Linked DNA regions of Diceros bicornis minor. Each later gene encodes a partner of the first gene's protein in a complex. Links are inferred from orthologs where the notes say so. Each region holds a gene or a part of one and is shown on either strand. Other genes may lie near its edges.

What was found.
Region 2: MYO7B (region 1) and CDHR2 share a complex: the UniProt entries of both Homo sapiens proteins name them as parts of the IMAC/intermicrovillar adhesion complex. The link is inferred for Diceros bicornis minor from reciprocal best matches to the Homo sapiens genes MYO7B and CDHR2.
Region 3: MYO7B (region 1) and CDHR5 share a complex: the UniProt entries of both Homo sapiens proteins name them as parts of the IMAC/intermicrovillar adhesion complex. The link is inferred for Diceros bicornis minor from reciprocal best matches to the Homo sapiens genes MYO7B and CDHR5.

Annotation. Positions count from the first base shown.
Region 1 is NC_080749.1:5,374,368-5,381,251, forward strand, and holds the start of MYO7B (unconventional myosin-VIIb), read right to left. Parts: upstream 3,017-6,884; coding exon 2,867-3,016; intron 1-2,866. UniProt on the Homo sapiens protein: Myosins are actin-based motor molecules with ATPase activity. Their highly divergent tails are presumed to bind to membranous compartments, which would be moved relative to actin filaments.
Region 2 is NC_080740.1:89,800,785-89,807,923, reverse strand, and holds the start of CDHR2 (cadherin-related family member 2), read right to left. Parts: upstream 3,017-7,139; 5' UTR 2,882-3,016; coding exon 2,753-2,881; intron 521-2,752; exon of another isoform or gene 418-520; intron 1-417. UniProt on the Homo sapiens protein: Intermicrovillar adhesion molecule that forms, via its extracellular domain, calcium-dependent heterophilic complexes with CDHR5 on adjacent microvilli. Thereby, controls the packing of microvilli at the apical membrane of epithelial cells.
Region 3 is NC_080770.1:1,357,523-1,365,416, reverse strand, and holds the start of CDHR5 (cadherin-related family member 5), read right to left. Parts: upstream 3,017-7,894; 5' UTR 2,840-3,016; coding exon 2,782-2,839; intron 2,700-2,781; coding exon 2,524-2,699; intron 2,120-2,523; coding exon 2,069-2,119; intron 753-2,068; coding exon 660-752; intron 508-659; coding exon 406-507; intron 301-405; coding exon 190-300; intron 85-189; coding exon 1-84. UniProt on the Homo sapiens protein: Intermicrovillar adhesion molecule that forms, via its extracellular domain, calcium-dependent heterophilic complexes with CDHR2 on adjacent microvilli. Thereby, controls the packing of microvilli at the apical membrane of epithelial cells.

The DNA.
Region 1 (6,884 bases):
GATTGGTGTGGGGAGTGGAGAGAGGCGGAAGGAGAATTTTCCTTCACATTTTGCTCCTTTCTGTCACGTTTGGCTTTTCCATAGCTACAGATTGCTTGTATTATTTATATTACTGTCCACAGGAGTGTCCGGGTGCCTGAAATCCCCCCTCTCCCCACAGTGATGACCGTCTGCAAAGATCAGCCACCGGGCTCCAGTGCGGGGAGGAACGGGAGGAGCCCATGGGAGCAGTGGTTGCATGGAGGTGGGAGCTGTCCATGGTGTGGAATTGGGCAGTGCACTCCAGGGAAAGGGGACAGGTTCTGAGCCCCTCTGTGCACTGACCCAGCCGGGGACGGCTCAGCCCATCTCCGCAGCCCAGGGCCCAGAGGGCCTGCAGAAGGACACACCCTCCATTGAAAGGGAGTCCCACCCCACACAGGACTGCCTGGCATACGGGGTGATGGCCACAGGGTGCCATTCCCGTGAATACCATGTGACTGGCAGCCCAGGAGGTATACGTCTCTGAGAGGTGCTCCTGGCCCAGAGACGCGATGTTCTTGGGTCCTCACCAGGGATCCTTTCTCTTCTTCCCAGGTAAGCCCAGGGTGAGGATGTGGAGCCATAATCCTCCATCCCATCATCCCCCAGCGGGCACAGGGCCTGGCCACCCCCACTGCCAAAAACCTTTCGGTGTGTGACAATGTGGAGCTGAGAGGCCTTGCTCCCTCAGAGCCTGGCTCCTAGCCCCTCCTGGGGAAGTCTGTGGTGGCAGGTGGCCCTGGTGAAAAAGCGCTGCTAGGAGAATCTCCCTCCCAGAGCAGGGCTCTGTTCCCCCTCCAGGGGGGCAATGTGGTTGTGGGGAATTCAGCACTGTTGCCGGTCCTACGAGGAGCAAATAAACTGGATTTACCCCTTCCCCTCTCCCACCTGACACATGCACCTGGGTTCAGGGGCCTGATGGGTCCCTGCAGGTGAGGGTAAGTGCCTGGCTTTCCAGCCTCATCTCAGGCCCACTCTTTCAGACTGGACTTAAGTGTCCTCTTGCAGCCACCTGGTGCTGTCCTCACCCATGCCCATTCTCTGCCACACCCGGGGAGGGTGCAGGGGACAGAGAAATCCTGAGGAGATCCAGCCTGTGCCCTCAAGGTGCTCATATCCAGTGGCCTTGGGCAAAGCATTTACCCTCTTTCATCTCAATGTCCTCTTTTGTGAGAAAGGTACTACAATTCCTGCTCTTCCTCCCTGAAAGGCTTGTGGTGTGGACTGAGGGAGAATGTGGGAGCAAGAGCCTTCAGAAGACATGAAAATCATAAAGTTATGCATCCGGGTAACTGGGAAGTGTTCGTCCCTGCAGTGTCACCTCTCCTCAGAATTACACACACACACACACACCCCCCACTGCCCCCCCACTGCCAGTCAGCAGGAACCAAGACAGACACACAAGGATAGGGCCTCTGGGAGGGGGTACCCGAGGGCCAGACAGCAGGGCGCTCACGGGTCCAGGGACATGGGGATGGCTTCCTACGAGAAGCGCTGTTGAGCTGGGTGGTTCTTAACAAAGATTCCTCGGGGGATATTTTCCAGGCCCAGGGAGCTGCATGCAGTTTTGGTTTTCTTTGAACTAAAATCCTGAACAGAGTTCAGGGGTTTTATGGGTTAGAACAAAATTCAAGTCCAGAGTTACGGAGTGGAGACTGAGGGGCAGGCCTGGTCGTGGGGAGCAAACACACCCAATTTAGGGGATTGAGGATGGGGCCCCACACCTGCCAGCTGCCAGACCCTTCAATGTCTGTGTCTCAAATTTCCTCCTCTGTGAAGCGGGGATGGATGACCACATGCTGACAGCTCAAAGGAGGCAACCCCTGGGAGCCCACAGTGGAGTCCCTCCCCTCAGTCACCCCGTTCCCCCAACGACTCAACACCCTCACCCAGAGGAGGCTGTGAGGCCAGAGAGGCAGGGTCGTGCCTCACCCTGGGGGCCCAGGTCTTTCAGAGGCGACTAACACAACTGTCCAGGAAAGTGTGTGGGTGAGTCAGATAAGCCCGGGCTCTGCTTCTTCCTGTGGGCATCTCAGCTTCCGTGGTCCCCAGTCTCCTTGTCCATGAGATGGAGGCAATAACACTAGCATGCTGTGAGGACACAGTGAGATGGCACATATGGCACTGCTAACGTCGGCTAGGTGCCCAGTGCTCGGCACCTAGGCTAACCTTCATGCCTCGTGATTCCGCGGCCAGACCCTCCCGCTATGAGAAGGCTGCCGGGCACGGGGCAGCCCCGGACCTGCCATGCCCCTCTGCCAGAGAGTCTGCCTTCCCATGGCAGAGGGCCGGGACAGCTTCTCCTCCACCTCCTCCTCAGCCCCCAGGTTGGCCCTGCAGCATGATGGGAAGAATCTCTGGGCTGGGGTTTCTGATTTCCGGGCTCCTGAAGGGAATCCCCCACTCTCTACTTCACAGGCCTGTCCTTGTTTCCAGATGAGCCTTGCAGTGTTTCCCCAGGTCTATGCCTCCCAACCCACCTCCTGCCCAGCAACCCTCCTCCCAAGAGGTGACTCCTCCCTCCTGTCCTCCCAGCTGGCAGAATGCAGGCCCAGTGCATCCGGCAGACAGAGAAGCCCCCCAGCGTTCCCTTACCTTGTCAGGATGGGGGTCTTGCCAACTCCCTTTCCCTCCACCCTAGGCGCTCTGAAAGAGCAGGGAAAGGAGGCAGTGCCAGGGCTCTGGGCCTGCGGGAGAGTGAGGGAGAGGAGGAAGAGGTGGAAGGGCCCCACAAGGAAATGGCTGAGCACTCAAGGCCACGTAATTTATTACAGGACTTTGTCCCTGGGCTCCAGGCACATCCACTCCCACACGGCTCCTGCAGCCCCAGCAAGCGGAACCTCACAACGGTCTGATCTTTAACCCTGGCCTCCTCGCAGAGTCCCCACAGGCCATCAGAGTCTGCAGTCCACACACCTGTTGCTGGCCACCAGCCAAATCCCGTGGTGACGATCAGCTGATCGTCCAGGGAGCTCAGCATCTTCTCAGGTGTCATGGGGACTCCAAGGAAGCCCACACAGGAGCTCTGCTTCCAACTCCCCCATCCTAATTGGGGGCACACACAGGAGATGCCAGGAAGCTTTATAACAGAGCTAAAGGCTGTCGGGGCAAGTAGATTCCCGGTAGGGTCCGTGGGAGCAGAGGGGCTGACTTGGGCTGGGACTCGAATGAAGGGGGATTTTAACTATGAGGCAAATACAGACCCTCCTGAAGAGAAAGGGCATCTGAAGTGTGTCCTGGGAGAGGCCAGATTGGAGGGGACAGGCAGTGCCTGGAGGTGAGCGTCAGGGTGAGGGCTTTGAATGGGGTGGAAAATGAGTGCACTGGAGACACCCGTGCAGCTGCAGCCCCTTCCTTGGGGGAAGAGAGGCCTCCGTGGTCCTGACAGTCGGGACCCACTCAGGTTCCTTCCATCTCCCAGGACTTGGGAACTGCAGGCAGAGGTGTGGCCCTGGCTATCACTTTTCACACAGAGTTAACGCCACAGCAGGGCGGCAACCCTGACCTCAGGCCTCCTTGGGGGACAGGAACCAGGGGCTGGTGGGAGAGAGAAGGGTAAAGTAGAAGGGCTGCAGGGGTGGGGTTGGCCCCAGAGAGAGGCAGAGGCCCCTGCTGCCTGAGGGCTTCCTGTGCTTCCTGTGGGGCTCCCTGTTGTCCGCAGTTTCCTTCTGCTGCATGCTCCTTACTCTGAGGCAGCTTGAAGGACTTTCTGTTGCTTTTTTTTTTTTTCAATTATTTTATTGAGGTCATATTGGCTTATAACACTGTGTAAATTTCAGGTGTACATCATTATATTTCAGCTTCTGTATAGATGGTGTGCTGTTCACCACCAATAGCCTAGTGTTTACCCATCACCATACACATGTGCCCCTTTACCCCATTTACTCCTCCCGTCTTCCCCTCTGGTAACCACCACTCTGTTCTCCTTATCTATGTGTTTGTTTATTTTCCACATATGCGTGAAATCATAAGGTATTGGTCTTTCTCTGTCTGACTTATTTCGCTCAGGCATTTTTCCAAAGAAGATATACAGATGATCAACAGGCACATGAAAAGATGTTCAACATCACTAATTATTAGGGAAATGCAAATCAAAACTACAGTGAGATATCACCTCACGCCTGTCGGAATGGCTATAATTAACAAGACAAGAAATAAGAAGTGTTGGAGAGGATGTGGAGAAAAGGGAACCCTCATACACTGCTGGTGACAGCGCAAACTGGTGCAGCCACTATGGAAAAGAGTATGGAGATTCCTCAAAAAATTAAAAATAGAACTACCATATGATCCAGCTATTCCACTTCTGGGTATTTATCCAAAGAACATGAAAACACTAATTTGAAAAGATATGTGCACCCCTATGTTCGTATAGCATTATTCACAACAGCCAAGTTTTGGAAGCAACCTAAGTGCCCATCAACAGATGAATGGATAAAGAAGATGTGGTATACATACACAATGGAATACTACTCAGTCATAAGAAAAAACAAAACCATGCCATTTGCAGCAATGTGGATGGACCTTGAGGGTATTGTGCTAAAGAGTGTCTGTTTCTGACAACCAACTAGCCCATGACAGAGGAAGGGAAGTGAGTTGGGAGATACTTAATGAAGGGCCATTTGGAGGAAAGCGTGCTCTAAGCCTTTCAACCAGTTCCCCACCTGCTCCCCTTGAATATGGTACTTAAGTTTTGCCCCTGGTTCCAACTAGCCTCCCATCCCCTAAAATCCATCCAATTACTGGGCCAACACTTGTTTTGTGGGGGTTTCACACAGCACGTGGCTTCTCTGGTTAGAAAGAGACCATTTCACTCCTATAGAATTGGCAGTACTGCTCCTGGCAGCTCCCAGACATGGCGAGCCCCTCACTCTGGGACTCCCATCACCAGGCTGGGTCCCCTACAGTCCTCTTCCACTGCTCTCGTGCAAAAAAATAGTGGAACAGAATATCCGTGTAGAACAAAACCATTTATAAGATATCTCTATCCAGAGCCTGTCTTAAACAAAATTTGGTAGAAACACATTTTGGATACCTACTACACTTATTTCCCACATTTTTTTTACATTTACATTTACATATCACAAGCATTTTCTTACACTGGACCAAATTTGAACCATGTCTTTAGAGACAGCACTGTAGTCCATCCTACAAGTGCGCCATCATTTGTGTAACCATCCTCCCTAGACGGACATCAGGAGGCATCCAATCCTTTGCTCTCATCTACAACCTTGCAAGGAACGAATTTGTGCTCACAGTTTTGTTTGCATTGTCATTACAGGAAGATTCCAGGAACTTATGGAAACCAGGGGCATGAATGTTTCGTTGCTAACCTCTCTCAAGTGGCACATCAAGTCCTCCCTCCTAGCAAAGGGTATGCATATAACTGCAAGGACCTAGCTTGACTGCTGTGTGAGTTGGCCAGGCCCAGAGGGGGCTCCCCCGAAGGACAGCTCTCCTGGAGCCTCAGGTGTTCCCCAAGCCCTGGAAATCAAGACAACGGGTGGGGGCCAGTCAGGGCAGGCTCTTCCCTGTCACACCTGTGATCAAACTTGGCTCTCCCGCAGCCTAATGCTACTTCCACAATTCTCCTCAAGATGCAAATATTCTGCTAACCTTTATTTTATTTTATTTTTTATTATTTTTTGTGTGTGTGAGGAGATGAGCCCTGAGCTAACATCTGCCAATCCTCCTCTTTTTGCTGAGGAAGACTGGCCCTGGGCTAACATCCGTGCCCATCTTCCTCCACTTTATTTTTTATTTTTTTTTTTATGGGACGCCGCCACAGCATGGCTTGCCAAGCAGTGCGTCGGTGCACGCCCGGGATCCGAACCAGCGAACCCCTGGCTGCCGCAGCGGAGCACGCGCACTTAACCGCTTGCGCCACCAGGCCGGCCCTCTGCTAACCTTTAAAAGTATGTTTCTGAGCTGAGCCAAAATGCCTCCAAGGGACAACCTATGTTTCACGCTATTCCCATCCAATGATCAAGACCATGGTAGTGTCGCCATAGCAACTAAAATAGAGCAGAGGGAGCATTTCATTTCAGCTCTACAAACACGTCATAGAGCCGCCTGAGGTTGCTGGTTTCCTGAGGGCCCTAATCTTCCCATGTAACATACAGTAGCCACGTTATCCATTAACACTATAAAACAGCACAGCTGTCGGCGTAGATCTCTGTGACTGAGCTGCTCTGTGGAGAATTTTGGAATTCTCAGTCTCAAAGAGAACTAGCATTTAGTGAGTGCTTTCTCGGTGCTGGGCTCTTTGCACGTGTCATGTCATTCAACTCTCATCAAACTCTACAAATTAGGGGTGCCTATCCTCATTTCACCGTAAAGAAGGTAACACCGATGAAGTTAAGAAACTCGCTTAGGTCATAGGGCTGCAAGTGGTGGGCGCTGGATTTGAATGGAGGTCTACCTGACTCCAAGGCCAGTGCTCATTGCACCGCGTTACACCACACCAACCCTAAAACAAACCTGGTTTCCTCCTCCCCAACCCCAAAGGTGGATGAGGCATCCTATTTTTAGAGAGTTTCGGAAAAGGGGCTTCCCCAACGTGCTTGCCCAGGGTCTGAAGGACCTTTCCTCTTTCATTTCCATGGTCTCCAAAGTGTGAGGGCAGAGGAACATCTGGGAAGAAGCAGGGCTTAAATGCTTCCCTGGGAACTCAGTTATGCACAGCAGGTACAGTAGTCCCCCTGATCTGTGGTTTTGCTTTCACAGTTTCAGTTACCCTCCGTCTACTGCAGTCGGTAGCAGATGATCTTCCTTCTCATGGATCGTCAGAAGGTCAGTAGTAGCCTAACGCTATGCCACAGTGCTGATGCCATTCACCCTCCTGCATCTCATCATGTAGGCACTGT
Region 2 (7,139 bases), on another chromosome or scaffold:
GGCACACACAAAGTCCCTCCCCTGCATCTGGTCCTCACCATCTCCCCGGAAGGAAGCGATGGCTCCGCAGCCCCCTTTATGCCTGAGTCCCAGGGAAGCTAAGGCTCCTGCCCACCATCCCAAGCCAGTCAGGGTGGAGCCAGGACCCACCCCTCAGACTCCCTGTCCAGTGCTCTTTATTGCTGGGTCCTGCCTCTCTTCCCTCCTGCACTGCCTCAGCCTGGGTTTCACGCAATCTTCCCTCCTCCCTGTCACAGTGACTTTTACAAACACACGCTCATTTGATCATAATGCGGTCAAAGTTCTACAGCCCAGAGCATCATCCTCCTGATTCAGTCACCTGAGAAAAATGTACAGAGCCTAAGGGAGTGGGGGAAGCCGCCAGGATGACCCTGCCCCATCAGTGAGCCTTCTCACCTCACTGGGCACAGCCACTCCCAAGCTCAAACCTCCGCCTTGGCTCCCACTGGCTGCAGGACACACTTCCTGCCCCTCAGCTTGGCAGGCCAGGTCCTCACAGGTACACGTCTCTCTTCCCACTCAAGCTGGCCTCCTTCCCCCTCCCACAACCCAAGGGCATTGCGTGCTGCTGCTCTTGTACACACCCGATGTTTTTCTTCCTCCCAGCATTTGCATCTGCTGTCACCTCTGCCCAGAACGCCTTCCCTTGCCTCCTGCGTATATGCAAATTCTCTCCATCCTCTAAGGTCAGGTCAGGTGCGGAGCCACCTTCCGGCATTGGTGGCCCCTAAGCTCCTAGTACCCAGCAGGGGCAGGGGGACAGACTAGGTGCAAATGAATAAGATGTGAATGGAGTTGCCCATGGGTGGGGACTCCAGGCCAGGCCACTCCCCAGGCCTCCGCTGTGCCAGGCGGCCATGGCTTGGGAGTGAAGGACGCATGGTCTCACTCCAGGCCCCAGTCACCGCACAGCCAGACCCAGGGTTTCTTCTTTCCTCCTCTCTGCCTCTCAGTTTGCCTTCTAAAAAATGGGATTATCAACATTCTAGAGATTACAGCTTCCTTTCCCCCAACCCCTACTCAACCTCCCTCTACCTCCACCCACCCGCTCTCTTTCCCTACTCTCAAACAGTGCTGGGGGAAGGGTCAAAAAGGACACAGAGGAGAAACAGGGTGGCTTCTGGACCCCTACCCCATGAAACACTCCCATGGGAGTCCCTTCTGGCTTGGAAGGGACACACCCATCCCGGGCCGGGAAGCGCCAGCTCCTCACCCTCAGTGGGAGGAGGCATCAGCCACAGCTCTCAACAGCCCATGGCTCCAAGACTTCCTAGGGCTTGGAGCCACTGGGAGTGGGGACCTCAGGCCTGCCCAGGGCGTCCAGGAGGACCAGAGAGGGAGGTGGACCTCCTCATCCATTGGCCCCCAGCGGGCGGGCTCAGCCACCACCACCTCCAGCTCACCACATGCTTTCACTTCCGCTTTCTTGTTTATTTCTCACAGCTGTTCCCCAGCTGTAGGAATCACCACTCCTGGGTTCAGGTGAGAAACGAAGCTCAGAGATGCTCAGAGAGGGATGCCCAAGAGCAAGGTGCAGAGCATTGGACCCAGACTGGCTCCACATCCAGGAGTCCGTGAGCAAGCCTTGCTCTGGGCTCCGCTTGACTCCATGGGAGCCGTACCAGCACCCACAGGTCAGACACCAGCCCAACCAGGGTGCCCTGGTGCAAGGATGTGGACCCCAAGGGCATGGGCTTCCTGCATGGAGCCCCTCCAGCACCTGTCCCTCAGGCTGCTTTGGCGGCAGACAGATATGAAGTCAAATGGCCCTGGTTCAGATTCCAGCCTTTCACTTACTTGCTGTGCCACCCCAAGCAAGCCCTTACCCTCTCTGGGCCTCAGTTTCCCTGCTGAGAAATGGAGTGAGGATAAGAACCATAAAGTCCACACATGGGTCATGTCCTGTTTCCATCAGTGGGATCCCAATGTTCCCTGAGCCCCGCTTTGTGCCTGGTGCCCCAATCCCACAGTCCTGCTCAGGGAAGAGGCCCAGGCCTGGCCCTGGCTCTCAGCTGAGTCTCCACCTGGAACACCAGGGCAAAGAGATGTGTCAGGGCCTGGGAATGAGCCAGAGCTGAGGGCCAGGCTGTGGTTAGTCGCAGCCGGACCCTTCCTAGTGGGGGCTGAGGTGGCACCGGAGTCCATCACCGACCACAGGCCCAACTCTGCTCCAGGCCTTCTCCAGCTTCTTTCCTGCACTACTACTGTCCCATTCCACAGATGAGGAAACTGAGGCCCGAAGACTTACAGAGCCCACCCAAAGTCAGGATGGAGCTGGGATCTGAACTCAAGCAGTTGGTTCGGAGCCCAGTTCTTTCTCCTCAAGCTCTGGGGCCCCCCAGCTCAGCCACTCTGTCTTCACTCCCTCAAGCCTCTGTGAAAGGGGCCTAGGAGGGTTAACTCATTTCCCTGGGGGACCTGCCTCCCCTCCATCCTGTGAAGAACCGTCAGTAGGTCCAAATTACCCAAGGACTTGGAAGGGAGAGGAGCCATCAGAACCCTGGGTATAGGCATTATTAGCCCCACGGAAGAACCTGAGGCCTTGCAGCCCGGCTGGGCCTCAGCTCCAGGTTCCCCCAACCCAGCGCCAGTGCCCGCTTTCTCTGCCCAGCACTCCCACCCAGCTGGGTGGACCCCCAAAGCTCGCCCTGGCCCCAACGACCCCACTCTGTTCCTACCCCTGGCCAGGAGGCCCCACATCCCCACCACAGCCGAGCTGTGCAGCCCCTACCTGTGCCCCGGCAGGGGCCACGGAGGTGGCGGATGGACCCTGGCAGCAGGCAGAGGTGGGCACCGTCTGGGCCTGCAGTGGCGCCGCCAGCAGACTTTGGCACCATCTCCGCCTCCTCTGAGCAATCATTAACCCTGCCAGGGACCGCACCTCCCGGGATGGGGACAAGTCCTCAGCAAGTGCTGATCACAGCCGGGGAGGGGGCAGGAGGGCAGGATCAAGGTGACGGGCAACAGTGCTCCCGGGACTGGAGGCCAGGCCACTGGAGAAAGGGCCTAGGAGAGCCCGAGCCCGGGGGACCCGGGAACCAGGCCCAGCAGCTGGGGCAGGCAGGGGCGGGAAGGGTGACAGTCGACAGTTCCCTCCCCACTACAAGAGTCCTCAGTGACAGGGGACCCGTGGAGAAGGTGAGAGGGGTTAGGTCAGGGGAGGGAACTAGTAAAAGAGCATCACAATCCAACGTGAGTTATCCCCCCAGGAGTGCGGTGAACTTGACCTTGGATCCGCAGCCCCCACCTAGCGCTGCCTCACTCCCCTCTGCTGAGGCCCTCAGAGGTGCCTGCCCCTCCCTGGGGCCTCATCCACCTGCAGGCTGGCTTTCAAGACCAGCGGGGTGCCCGTGGCCTCCCAGCAGGGTCCAAGCCCCCAACTCCTCCTCCAACCACACAGGCCCCAACATCCCCATCTTGACAAGGAGAAAGGGGGCCTCAAGTTCTTCTGGCTGGGTGTCCTGGGGAAGTTACTGCCCCTCTCGGAACCACGCTGCTTGTGTCTGCACCATGGGGCAGCGAGTCCTGTGTGGGTGGATGGGAAGACACCCAGCCCAGGACGGGCACTCAGTAAGGCCAGGGGCAGCAGAAAGAGATCATGAGATGCAAATACGCTCTCAGCTCCAAGGAAGTCCTGGGGGAGGATGTCCTGGTGCCTCCCAAGAGGAGTTGGAATTGGCCTTTATTGAGCACCTACTGTACGCTTGACATCATGGTCTCCCTGATGCCTGACATCACCTGGGAGAGGAGGTACTGTTATAACCACGCCCACTCTGCAGAGCGGGAACCTGGGGCTCTGAGCGGGAGGGGCCCACACACACGTTCCCCAGAGAGCACATGGCCAGCTGAGCCAGGAACCAACTCCAAGCACAGCACCCAGGCCGGTGAAGGGGGAAGTGTGCTCCCCTCGCTCGCTCAGCCCTCCCCATTTCTCCTCGGCCAGGCTAGGGGGCCTCCTCCACACTTCCCCTCTCACTCCAGGACGCCTTTCCTGTGCCAGCGCCCAGTAGCTCTCTCGGCTCCCCTTGGTAACAACACCCAATTTTCCTTTGGGGAACCTCTTCACCCACCCTCCCCTCACCCCGTGGGGGGCATGTGATAAGGCCTGGCCAGTCAGAGCACAGCACCCCCCTACACAGACACACACAGCTCCTGGTTCAGGTTTGGGCATGTGACCAAAGCTGGGGCAATAAGAACCAAGAGGACTCAAATCAAGGACTTTTGTTGGGACTGTTGAGAAGGAGAACATTTTCCTCCCCACTGGGACATCTAAACTGTAAGAAAGTGACTTCCAACAGCTGTCTAATTACTACCATAATGGTAAAGTCTACTGAGAAAGAATCTAAGACTGAGTTAAGCAGAGCTAAGAAATGCAGACAAACAGATTCCTCATCACTTTGTGTGAGCCTCTGGATGTAGCCATGCCTGAAAACCTCCACCACCAGACTCTTCAGTTATTAAATCAATACATTCCTTTTTCTGCTAGGCCTGGTTGAATTGGTCTGTCCTGACTACAATCTGCCTCAAGATGGGAAGTCCCCCATCCCTACACCACCAAACCCACATGCTAAGGAAGGGGCACAGACAGAGTTGAGGTAAACAGGCTGCAGTTTGAACTTGGCTGGGCCATCTCCTAGCTGTTAAGCTTCTTGAAGTCCCCACCTCTCCCTGTAGCATAATATCAGACATCCACATTCACAACTTGGAGAAAATAATATTATTTACTTTGTGGGATTCTTGTGAGGATAAAACCAGATAATTCAGATACCATTCCTGGCACGTAGCATAGAACCCCCCACCCCCACCCTGCCACTTGTCCAGGCTCCCAGGGCAGCGAATCCATAGCTTTCCCAGGGCACGTGCCCACAGTCCTATCATAACCCTGAGCGGCCTCTCCAGACTCACACTCAGTAGATATACATCGAGTGGTTACAAAGGCCAGGCCCTTTAACAGAGAAGTTTGTTCCCCAACCTCCCCAATTTAAAACAGATTATCAAAATATATATGTTGTGTGTACACCTATGTTCGTAGAAGCGTTATTCACAGTAGCTACAACATAGAAGCAACCCGAGTCTATTGACAGATGGATGGACAAATAAAATGTGGCATATACATACAATGGAATGTTAGCCTTAAAAAGAAAGATCATTTTGACACACGCTACGACACGCATGAACCTTGAGGACATTATGCTGAGTGAAATAAGCCAGACACAAAGGACAAATCCTGTATGATTCCACTTACATAAGGTATTTAGAGCAGTCGAAATCACAGAGACAGAAAGTAGAATGGCGGTTGCCAGGGGCTGCGGGAGGTGGGATGGGGAGTTGTGGTTTAATGGGCACAGAGTTTCAGTTTTACAAGATGAAATGAGTTCTGGAGATGGATGGTGGTGATGGTTGCACAATATTATGAATGTACTTAATACCTCTAAACTGCACACTTGGAAATGGTTGTTAGTAAATTTTATGTTATGTATACTTTACCACAATAAAAAAAATTGCAAAAAATATATGCTACAACAAGCTCAAAAGGAACCTGGATTAAGGGAAAACAAATGAGAAAAACGAGGAGAATTTAGATCGGAATAAAGTCCATAAAATATTTAAATATTTGCCTTGAAATTCTAGGTAATTGTCAGAGGTGGGCCATGAATTAGATTCTGAGTTTCCTAGCAGGTGAGGCAAAGAGAGAAACAGGATCCATTAAGTCTAGCATCCAGCACCCATCCATTTAAAAAGGTATATATACAAGCACACACACACATACAGAGAGAGAGCCAGGATCTGGGAGCCATGGTGCAATTCTGAGTTCTGATACCTGAGAGGAGTTTTCTCCTGTGTGTCTCCAGGGAGAGGATGCTGCAGGAGGTGGACGGCACTTGACATAACTATTACGATGTAGTCGTTGAGAGACAGGGCTCAGGGGTCAGGAGCTGAGTTCAATTGTGGTGGAGCAAGTTACAGAACCTCTCTCAGCCTGTTTCCTCATCTGTAAATTGGGGATAATGGATGAAACCTACTCAGAAGGTGGTGGTGAGAATGAAATGAAGTCATGCGTTTCAAGTCTCGAGCACAGGGCCCGACACAGAGTCAAGTCTCAGCGCGTGCTAGTTTTTGCAGTGGCGTGGGGGAACTGCTGGTGGACTAACTGTAGGAGGAGAAGCAGGCGACTCTGCCCGAGGCTCCAGGCTCCAGGTCTGCCCCAAACCCAGGGAACCAGCCTGGTCTCTCTGCCCAGCCCTCCTCTCTGTCCCTGCTCTGACTGCTGGGGCCAACAGCTCTGAGTCACTGTTCTGGCCCCCGGAGGGCGTGTGCTGGCCTGCCCAGACCTTTGGACAGCATCTGGACGAGCCATGTGTGACCAGATGGTGCCCTGCCCATCTCAAGGGGCACCTGTCTACCTACCACAAGGCAGCCTGAGCAGGTCACTGGGCTCTGGGCTGTGATGATCCAGGTCTGAGTAACAGGCCAGGCCTGGGGTCAGCCTCAGCGAGCAGCGGGTTGCCAGGCAGAAAGTGGGGCTAAGAGGCCAGGATGTGAACTTAGATGACCTGAGTTCTAATCTCTTCCCCACCACTTACTAGATGGGGGCCTTGGACAAGGTAGCTCATCTCCCTGAGCCTCAATGTCCTCATCTATAAAATGGGCATAACAGCAAAACCCGACTCACAGATTTGTTATAGACATTGACACAGGGAGGTGATGCAGTAAAGCCCTTAGCACAGGGCAAGGGATAGAGAGATGTGCACATGAGGAAGTGATTCAGAGCCACTGTGTTAGGCGTGTGGTTTTTAAAAATTTTGATCAGAAAAAGTTCTCATTGCCTGTCTTTGCTAGCAACCTACTGTGTGCACCACCACATGCCCAGACATTGATCAAGCTGAAACCAAGTCCTCAGTTTCCTCTGACTAGCTGTGTAACATCAGGCAAGTCACTCGTCTCGGAGCTGCCACTTCTGCAATCTGGAGACCTCCCCTCCCCCCACCAGTGTGTGGCTCCAGAGGTGACCTGGGGAGCCCGGGCTGAGGGGGGGGTCTTTGCTGTGAATGTGTCCAGTCCCTCCTCAACTTTTCATCATTCCTCCACGTTGCAATGGCTTTGCAGAGTACAAGCTG
Region 3 (7,894 bases), on another chromosome or scaffold:
GGGCCGCAGATCGATGGGCTCCACCTCCAGGACCAGGGTGGCCGTGGCCGTGTGGCTGGGTGTCACGTTCTCTTCCCGTGTATCCTACAACAGCCAAGACCCTCGGATCAGGTCTGGGAGCCTGGGGGTGGCGGCAGCTCGGATGGGGACCCGCGCGTCCAGGACTCGGGGTGGGTGTGGCCTGCTCACCCGCACCAGCAGCCGGAAGGTCATGTTCGGCCACCTGTCAAGGTCCAGTGTCCGGTCCAGCTGCAGGGCAGGGAGGTTCACTCCCACCAAGGAGAAGAAGACACTGGCACCCTGAGGAGGTGGGGAGGCCTCAGCCTGAGACTCTGGGGGCTGCAGAGAGGCAGGGGCGCCCAAGGTGGAGGGGTCTGAGTTGGGGCAGGGATTGGGGGCACTGACCGGGGTCACTTCCTCGAGGGTGTAAAACAAGATGTCATTTTTGTCCAGGTCCTCGGCCTGCAGTTCCGTCTCTGGGATGACGGTAGTGTTCACTTTAGCGTTCTGGGGGACAGGGGGGTTGGTCTGGCCACACTCCTCACCCCCATGGCCAACACATCCGGCCACTAGCCCTCTGCCGTCTGGCCCCTCACCCCAGCTCCCGATGGCCCAGTGCCAGCCCAGATGCCACGGCCCCTGGCTTCCTTCACACTCACCTCGGGTACCCTCTCCACCCTGACCACAAAGGGGAACGTGGGTGCATTGTCATTGACGTCCAGCACAGACACGAACACCCTCAGCTGGGTCACCTGGGGGGACGGGAGGTGGTCAGCCTCCTCACCTGGTGCCCACCCCAGCCGCCCTGGCTCACCCTGGGTGCTAGAGTGCCCGGGGGCTCCTGCTCAGGAGGGGTTACAGACAACGAACAAGAAGGAATTTGTAAAGCACAGAAGGTGGTGAGTGCCCTGGAGAAAATAACTCAGCTCCTGGGGACACAACCAGCAAAATCCCAGACGCGGAAAACGGCAAAACCATCCAATTTCTTCAAACGTAGATCTCAAAGGAAAAAGGAGAGAGAAAGGGGACCAGCAGACGGAAAAAGACTTAAGAGAAACTCAAGCAGCCGCATCAGGCGGACCCTGCTTGGATCTTGGTTCAAACAAGCATCAGTCAAGACCCGTCTGCGACCTGGGGGCAGGATTCAGACGCTGGAGGTCACGCGATGCCCGCCGTCCCAGTTTCCTCAGTGTCACAGCAGTGTCCTGATGATGTTTCAGAGGAAGGGTCCTTATCTTTCAGAGAGTCATCCTGAGACATTTGTGGGTGGCGTGCTGTGATGTGGGGGTGGGGGCGCCCACGGGGCTCGCTGCTGAGCAGGCAGGTGCGTGGGGCAGGCGGTCAGGGTGCCTCTCCGAGGAGGGCATGGGCGAGTGAGGACCGGAGATGGTGAGAGAGGGAGGCAGGTGCGCATCTGGGAGAGGGCACAAGGCCGCCGAAGCTGGGCGTTGGGTCCCTGCGCCCGGCCTTGCCCACCCCGGCAGTGCATTTGGCTTTGACCCGGAGTGAGAAAGCAGCCATGAGAGGAAGTCCTGGGCAGGACGTGCGGCTTGCTTTACTGGATCTTCTTCTGCCATATGGAGAGTGGATTGGGGTAGGCGGAGCCAAGAGGGGAGCAGGTGAACTAGTTGGAAGGTTCCAGAAAGGAGATGCTGGTGGCCAAGGCCCAAGTGGGGCATGGAGGTGGGGAGGGTCTAGCTTGAGGCAGATCCAACAGATTTGCTGATAGAGGGACGTGGCGGGGGGGAGGTGAGGACCTAGCCCTCAGGGTGGGGCATCTCCACCGTGCGGGACCTCGGGTTGGGGGCCTCTATTGGGGGTATGATGTTGGCTGGGCTGGGTTTGAGGGTCTGGGGCTCAGGGCAGAGTCTGGGCTGGAGGAACTGTGGGTGTCACCAGCACAGGGTGACACTTGACAATACACCACTGGGTGAGGTCACCAGGGAGTGACCCTGGACCGGGCAGAGCAGAGGGCAGAGGTCCAAGCCCAGAGCGTTCTGACGTCACAGGGTAAGAGTATGACGTGGGGGGATGCCCAGGAGGTCGGGGGTGTGGGGGCAGGACTCACCACGGTGTCACCCCTTTTGCACTCCAGGAGTGCCTGCAGCAGTGAGTTCTCCTGTGGGGGTGGGCAGGTGTCAGGAATCACCTGCCTGGCTGGCCACAGCACAGCGTCCCCACTTCACAGGTGAGGAGACTGAGGCCGAGGGGGCAGGTGCTCGCCCAGGGTCCCCATCATCCATGCTAAGCCCAGAGGGAGCTGGGGGCCGAGGCAGCTTTGTCACCCCAGGGCCCCGCCCCCCTCAGGCCAGCCCTCTGCCAAGCCTTGGGGCCCCGGAGGGGTCAGTCAGTCCCTGCCTGAGGGGCGCAGAGCCCTCAGGACCCCTGGGCAAACTGACACCCAAAGGCCCCCAGAGAGCCCTTCTCCGGGAGGGAGGGTGGGTGTCCACTTGGGTCCCGTGGGGGGTCAGCCGCCCCAGCCACCCCCACGGGCATGCCCCACGGGGGGCCTGCCAGCCACACCTCATAATCAGGAGTCACGTTGAGAAACAGCTGGGTCCCTTGGATCCGAAATGCGAAGAGGGTGGACGAGGATCCGAGGGTCACCTGCTGGTCGTCGGGGACGTAGATATCCACCAGGGGCTCGGTGACATTCGTGTTCTCCTTGACTTCAAAGAAGGTCTGGTTCACAGAGCAGACTAGAAAGTTGGAGAGGAAGGGTCGGTACCGCCCAGCCCCATGCCTGCCCCCCAGCCCCACCCGCCACGGCCCTGAAGGTACCCTGGGCCTGGGCTGTGCCCACGAGCAGCAGTGGCAGCAGCAGGGCCCAAGCCCCCATCTCGGCGGCCGACAGCCGCAGGAGGGTCTGTGCTGGTTCGGTGTCCAGGACCCTCTGGGCAGCCGGCCGCCGCTGGCGCAGTCCCTGCCTGGGCGACCTTCGCCCCTGCCAGGCACCGCCCCACTTTATGATCCTTTACGACCGACTGGCCTCCACCAAGGGGGCTCCCGCCGGCCGCAGGCCAGGCCTAGCCCACTGGCAGGAGGGGGCCGCCTGGTGGTTCCCCGGGCCGGAGCTGGGCTCAACCCACAGACACCAAGACAAGAGACAGAAAGGAGCTCAGAGAGAGCCGCTGGGGCACCGAGGGGCTGGGGGAGGGAGCTGGGGAGCTGGAGGGGCTGGGGGAGGGCCCAGGGCTGGGAGGGGGCTGGGGAGGGGCAGGGGCTGGGGGAGGATGGGGGTTGGGGGAGGGGCTGGGGAGGGGGCAGGCTGGGGGAGGGGTGGGGGCTGGGCCCTGGCTCCTGTGTTTGCTGTGCCTCCCCTCGGCCCCAGCTGCCCCTCTGCTGGGCTGTTCTGCCAGAGTCATCTTGGGGCACGTTCAGACCCCGTGTTCCCATCCAGCTCACCTCCTCTCCCCGCACCCACCATCTAGGTCTGGAAAGAAAAGGTTGTTTGTGTCCTGGGGATACCCCTGCCTGTCCCGGAAACAAGCCGGATTCCTCCTGGTGGGGCTGGGCAGGGCCACAGTGATGGAGGTGGCAGTGTTTCAGGGGACACCTGGGGCTCCCGGGTCCCCGCGGGCTCTGGTGCCTGACAGAGAGGGACCCCAATGAGGCTCGTTGGCCCAGGCCCGCAACTGCCCTACCTCATCTTTCCTTGGCCTGCCAAATCCCAGCAGCTGGAGAGAGGCCACTGGGAGGGGTCAGGAGGGAGGGAAGGGGCTGCCATGATGGGGGGGCCTTCCCGCCTGTTTGCATCGAGGCTCTAAGGGCCTGAAACACCTTCCCGAAGCTCCTGGTATCCAACTGCCCCTGCTGGCAGTGCCTCCACGGCCTCCTGCACACCCAGCACCTCTAGGGGTGTCATCATCGTCCCTGCCCCACAGGCTCAGAGTGGTCAAGCCGCTCGTCTGAGACCACACGGCCTGGACAGGGAGCCAAGACACACACTAGAGTCCTCTCACTCAGAGTGGCCTCCTGGGGGACACCCCTCCACCCCCCTGCCATCTCTTCCTGCCTGCCCTGAGCTTACTTGCCCCCTCCAACTCCCCCCCCACCTGCTGCACACACTGACCACCTGGCCCCGGGGGCAGGAGCTGGGAGACGTCCTGAGTCCCCCCACAGAGCCCCTGAATGTCAGTGAGTGGATGACAGGGGTGCAGGTGGGCCCTGGGGAGCTCAGTGGATGGGACAGGAGGTGGCGCTGATGTCAGAGGTAGGACACGGGAGGGTGAGGCGCCCCACTGGTTTCCCAGGTTTAAAGGGCAGCGGGCGTGGCTGCAGTCCCAGAATCCGAGGATGGGGCCCTCCTCCCCCGACAGCCCTGCACCACAGAGGCTGCCTGACGGTACCCAAAGCACACAGAGTGGGGTCACAGGCCAGGGTCCGAATTCCTCCTTTATTGGTGCCAAATGCAATCCCCCCGGCCCCCCACCCCTCCCGGTCCAGGCTCCGCTCCCCTTGTGCGTGGAGACAGGCTCCTTGGTCCTCAGGGCCTCATCCAGTCCTCTCAGCAGCAGGGATGCCCGGCTCTGAAACCATGACCCCAGGTCTCCATCCAGGAGGCAGCTAAGGAGACCTGGCCTGAGCCAGGGGGGCACTCGGGGGCATCCTGCAGAGACAGCCCGGTTAGAGGCTGGGGACTTGAAGCTGGAGACTGTGCCCACCTGCTGAAGCTGGGCCTCCTTTGGTCACCCACCCTGACTCAGCCTCACCTCCCCCGGCCCCTGGCCCCTGCTGTGTCCACTTCCTGCTGTTGGCCCAGGGTGCCCCAGGCCCCAGAGGGAGGGTCTAGGGGGGTACCCTCCGGAGGGGGCAGGGGGCTAGTGGTGCTCACCAGGCCTGCAGGGTGGGCGTGTCCGGCCGGCCGGGGCAGGCAGAGGCGGCCCTCGGCCGAAGTGTTCCAGGTGGTGGTGTTCTCTGGGTCATGCTCGCTGCCCCCACCCCAAATCAGAGTTAGTCCGGGAGTTGGGGGGTTGGGAGCGGCGCCGCGTGCCGGGCCGTCCCACCTGAGCGCCCCCCACCAAAGGTCTCCGCGCTCACCTGCGCTTGCCCACCAGGCCCTGGAGCAGCCGCTGCAGACGCGCGCTCTCCCGCAGGCGGCTCAGCTCGCTCGTGAACATCCCATCCGAGTGTCGCCGGGCCCTGGGGAGGGGGATGGCGGGCCGCGCGGGCAGGATCAGGGCCAGGCCAGGGATGGGGCGCGGACGCGGGGTCGGGCCGAGGTGGGCCGGGGGGGCGGGCGTGGGCCCCGGGGCCGCGGGCTCACCTGCGGGGCGCGGGGAGCGCGGCGGAGCCCCCGAGTAGCAGCGGCGGCAGCAGCAGCAGCAGCAGCAGGGCCCGGGGGACCATGGTGGGCGCGGGGTGCTGAGCGCTGCTGCCGCGGCCGAGCCCCGCGGCCCCTTTATAGCGGCGCCCCAGGGCGGAGGGTGCCGGGGGCGCTCAGCACCGCCCCGGCTCCGCGCAGCCCCGGCCGCGCCCCATCGATCGCGCGGAAGGTCAGGGCCGCCCCCCCAGCTGTCGCCCCGGCTGGCCGCCCGCCCCCTCCGCCGCGGCGGCGCCCCTCAGCGGGCTGGGGGGCTCGGCCGGGCGGGCCTGCGCGGGTCGGGGGGCCCCGGGAGGGAGGAGGGACACCCGGCGGAGGAACAGCGCGTGCAAAGCCTCGGAGCCTCGACCGCGCGCGCTTTGGAGGCACGAGCAGAGCCTGCGGGGGACGCCGTTGGGGGCTGGCCAGCTCTGCAAGGGGGGGCGGCAGAGGGGCCGAGCGCACCGGAGGAGGGCTCCGGAGGGTCGGGGGCGACGACCGAAGGCTCCCAGGGGCCGCGAGGGTCGAGGCTGGGACGAAGGAGGAGGCGCCCGGTGGCGCGGAAGCCCCTGGAGAGGCCCCGGCGGGCGGCGCGGAAGCGGAGGCCGGGCTGCGGGTGAGGCGGTGGGCGCGGAGGTGGGCAGGGGAGTAGGAGGTGTAGATGCGGCGGGAGGAGGGAAAATGGGGAGGCTGCTGGGTTCCTCCTGCGTGATCAATGCGGGGTTAGGTCAAGTTAGGGTTTTTAGAAACTGTACTCATGAAGTCCTTAATCATAAATTATAAATCCAGTAAATGAAGTGGTAAACTCATGGTTCTTGTGTTACACTTTATATGCATTTTTGTGTGTGTGAGGAAGATCAGCCCTGAACTAACATTCGGTGCCAATCCTCCTCTTTTTGCCGAGGAAGATTTGCCCTGGGCTAACATCCGTGGCAATCTTCCTCTGCTTTATATGGGACGCCACCACAGCATGGCTTGACAAGCGGTGCGTTAGGTCCGTGCCCAGGATCCGGGCCTGCGAACCCCGGGCCGGCCAGGCGGAGTGGGTGCGCTTAACTGCTGCCCCACAAGGCTGGTCCCTTTACATGTATTTTTAAAAAACACACATGCGCCGCGCCTCCCCATTCCTAACATCTTGCATTATCATGGGACATTTGTTACAGTTGGTGAACCAATATTGACACATTATTATTAACTAAATCCACAATCTACATCAGGGTTCACCCTCAGTGTTGTCCATTCCACGGATTTGGACAAATGCATAAGGACACTTTCCACCACACAGAGCAGTTTCACTGCCCTGAAGACCCCCTGCTCCTCTGGTTCATCTCTCCCTCCATCTCTCTCTCCGCCAGCCCCTGATCCTTCTACCGTCTCTGTGGTTTTCTCTTTTCCAGAACGTCGCGTAGTTGCAATCATACAGTAGTGGCCTTTTCAGACTGGCTTCTTTCGCTTAGTAAGGTGCATTTGTTTCCTCCACGTCTTTTCATGGCTTGATAGTTCATTTCTCCTCCTCACTGAATAATACTGCATCATCTGGATGTCCGCAGTTTGTTTATCCATTCATAGACTGAAGAACATCTTGGTTGCTTCCAGGTTTGGGCAAGTATGAATAAAGCTGCTGTAAACATCCATGTGCAGGTCTTAGTGTAGACATAAGTTTTCAGCTCCTTTGGTAAATACCAAGGAGTATGATTGCTGAATAGCATGGAAAGTAGGTCTAGTTTGGTAAGAAACCGCCAAACTGTCTTCCAAAGTGGCTGCACCATTTTGCTTTCCCGCCGGCTGTGAATGAGCGTTCCTGTTGCTCTGTGTCCTCGCAGCCTTTGGTGATGTCAGTGTTCTGGATTTTGGCCATTCTAATAGGTGTGTAAGGGTATCTCAGAGTTGTTTTCTTTATATGTATTTTTAAACAGCTGCTATGGCCTGTTCTTGCACAAACTTGGCGGATTAAAATCCCCTAAACTTTAACACTATTGACCAATTAAGCATTGGAGCATATTCCAAACTCCAAGTACTCACTTAACTGGTGGGATTTCTTAGCGCATCAGACACTTAAGTAACCAGGCAGATCTCCATAAGAAAAATCTTCCTATTTAAAAAAAAAAAAAAATTAACATGCAGTAAAATTGACTTCTTAAAAATTAACATACAGTGAAATTAACATACAGTAAAAAATGAATTTTGACACATGGATAGATTCGTGTAGCAATCACCACAATCAGGGTACAGAAAGACTCCATCACCCCAAAGAACTCCCTCCTGCTGCCCCTTTGTGGTCACAGGCACGGCCCTGAGCGCCTTCGGTCAAGCTTCGTGAGGTCACAAGCAGTCACTAGCACAGAGGGACAGACCCAGGGTGAGGCCAGTTCTGAGTGAAAGAAGTGGGTGGTGCTGAGGCCAAGGAGGGGCGGGCTGTGTCCTGCAGGTTCCTGTCACAGAGGATTTTGTAACTGCCTTCATCTTGTCCGAAACGGCTGTCACCCATTGTCTCTGCTGCTCGGAATTTCTCCCGAGACAGCCCCTGGCCTTGTCCTCACACGCCCATTCCATGGCTGCCTCAAGCATGCAGCGGTCATGCTGCAGTGCCGA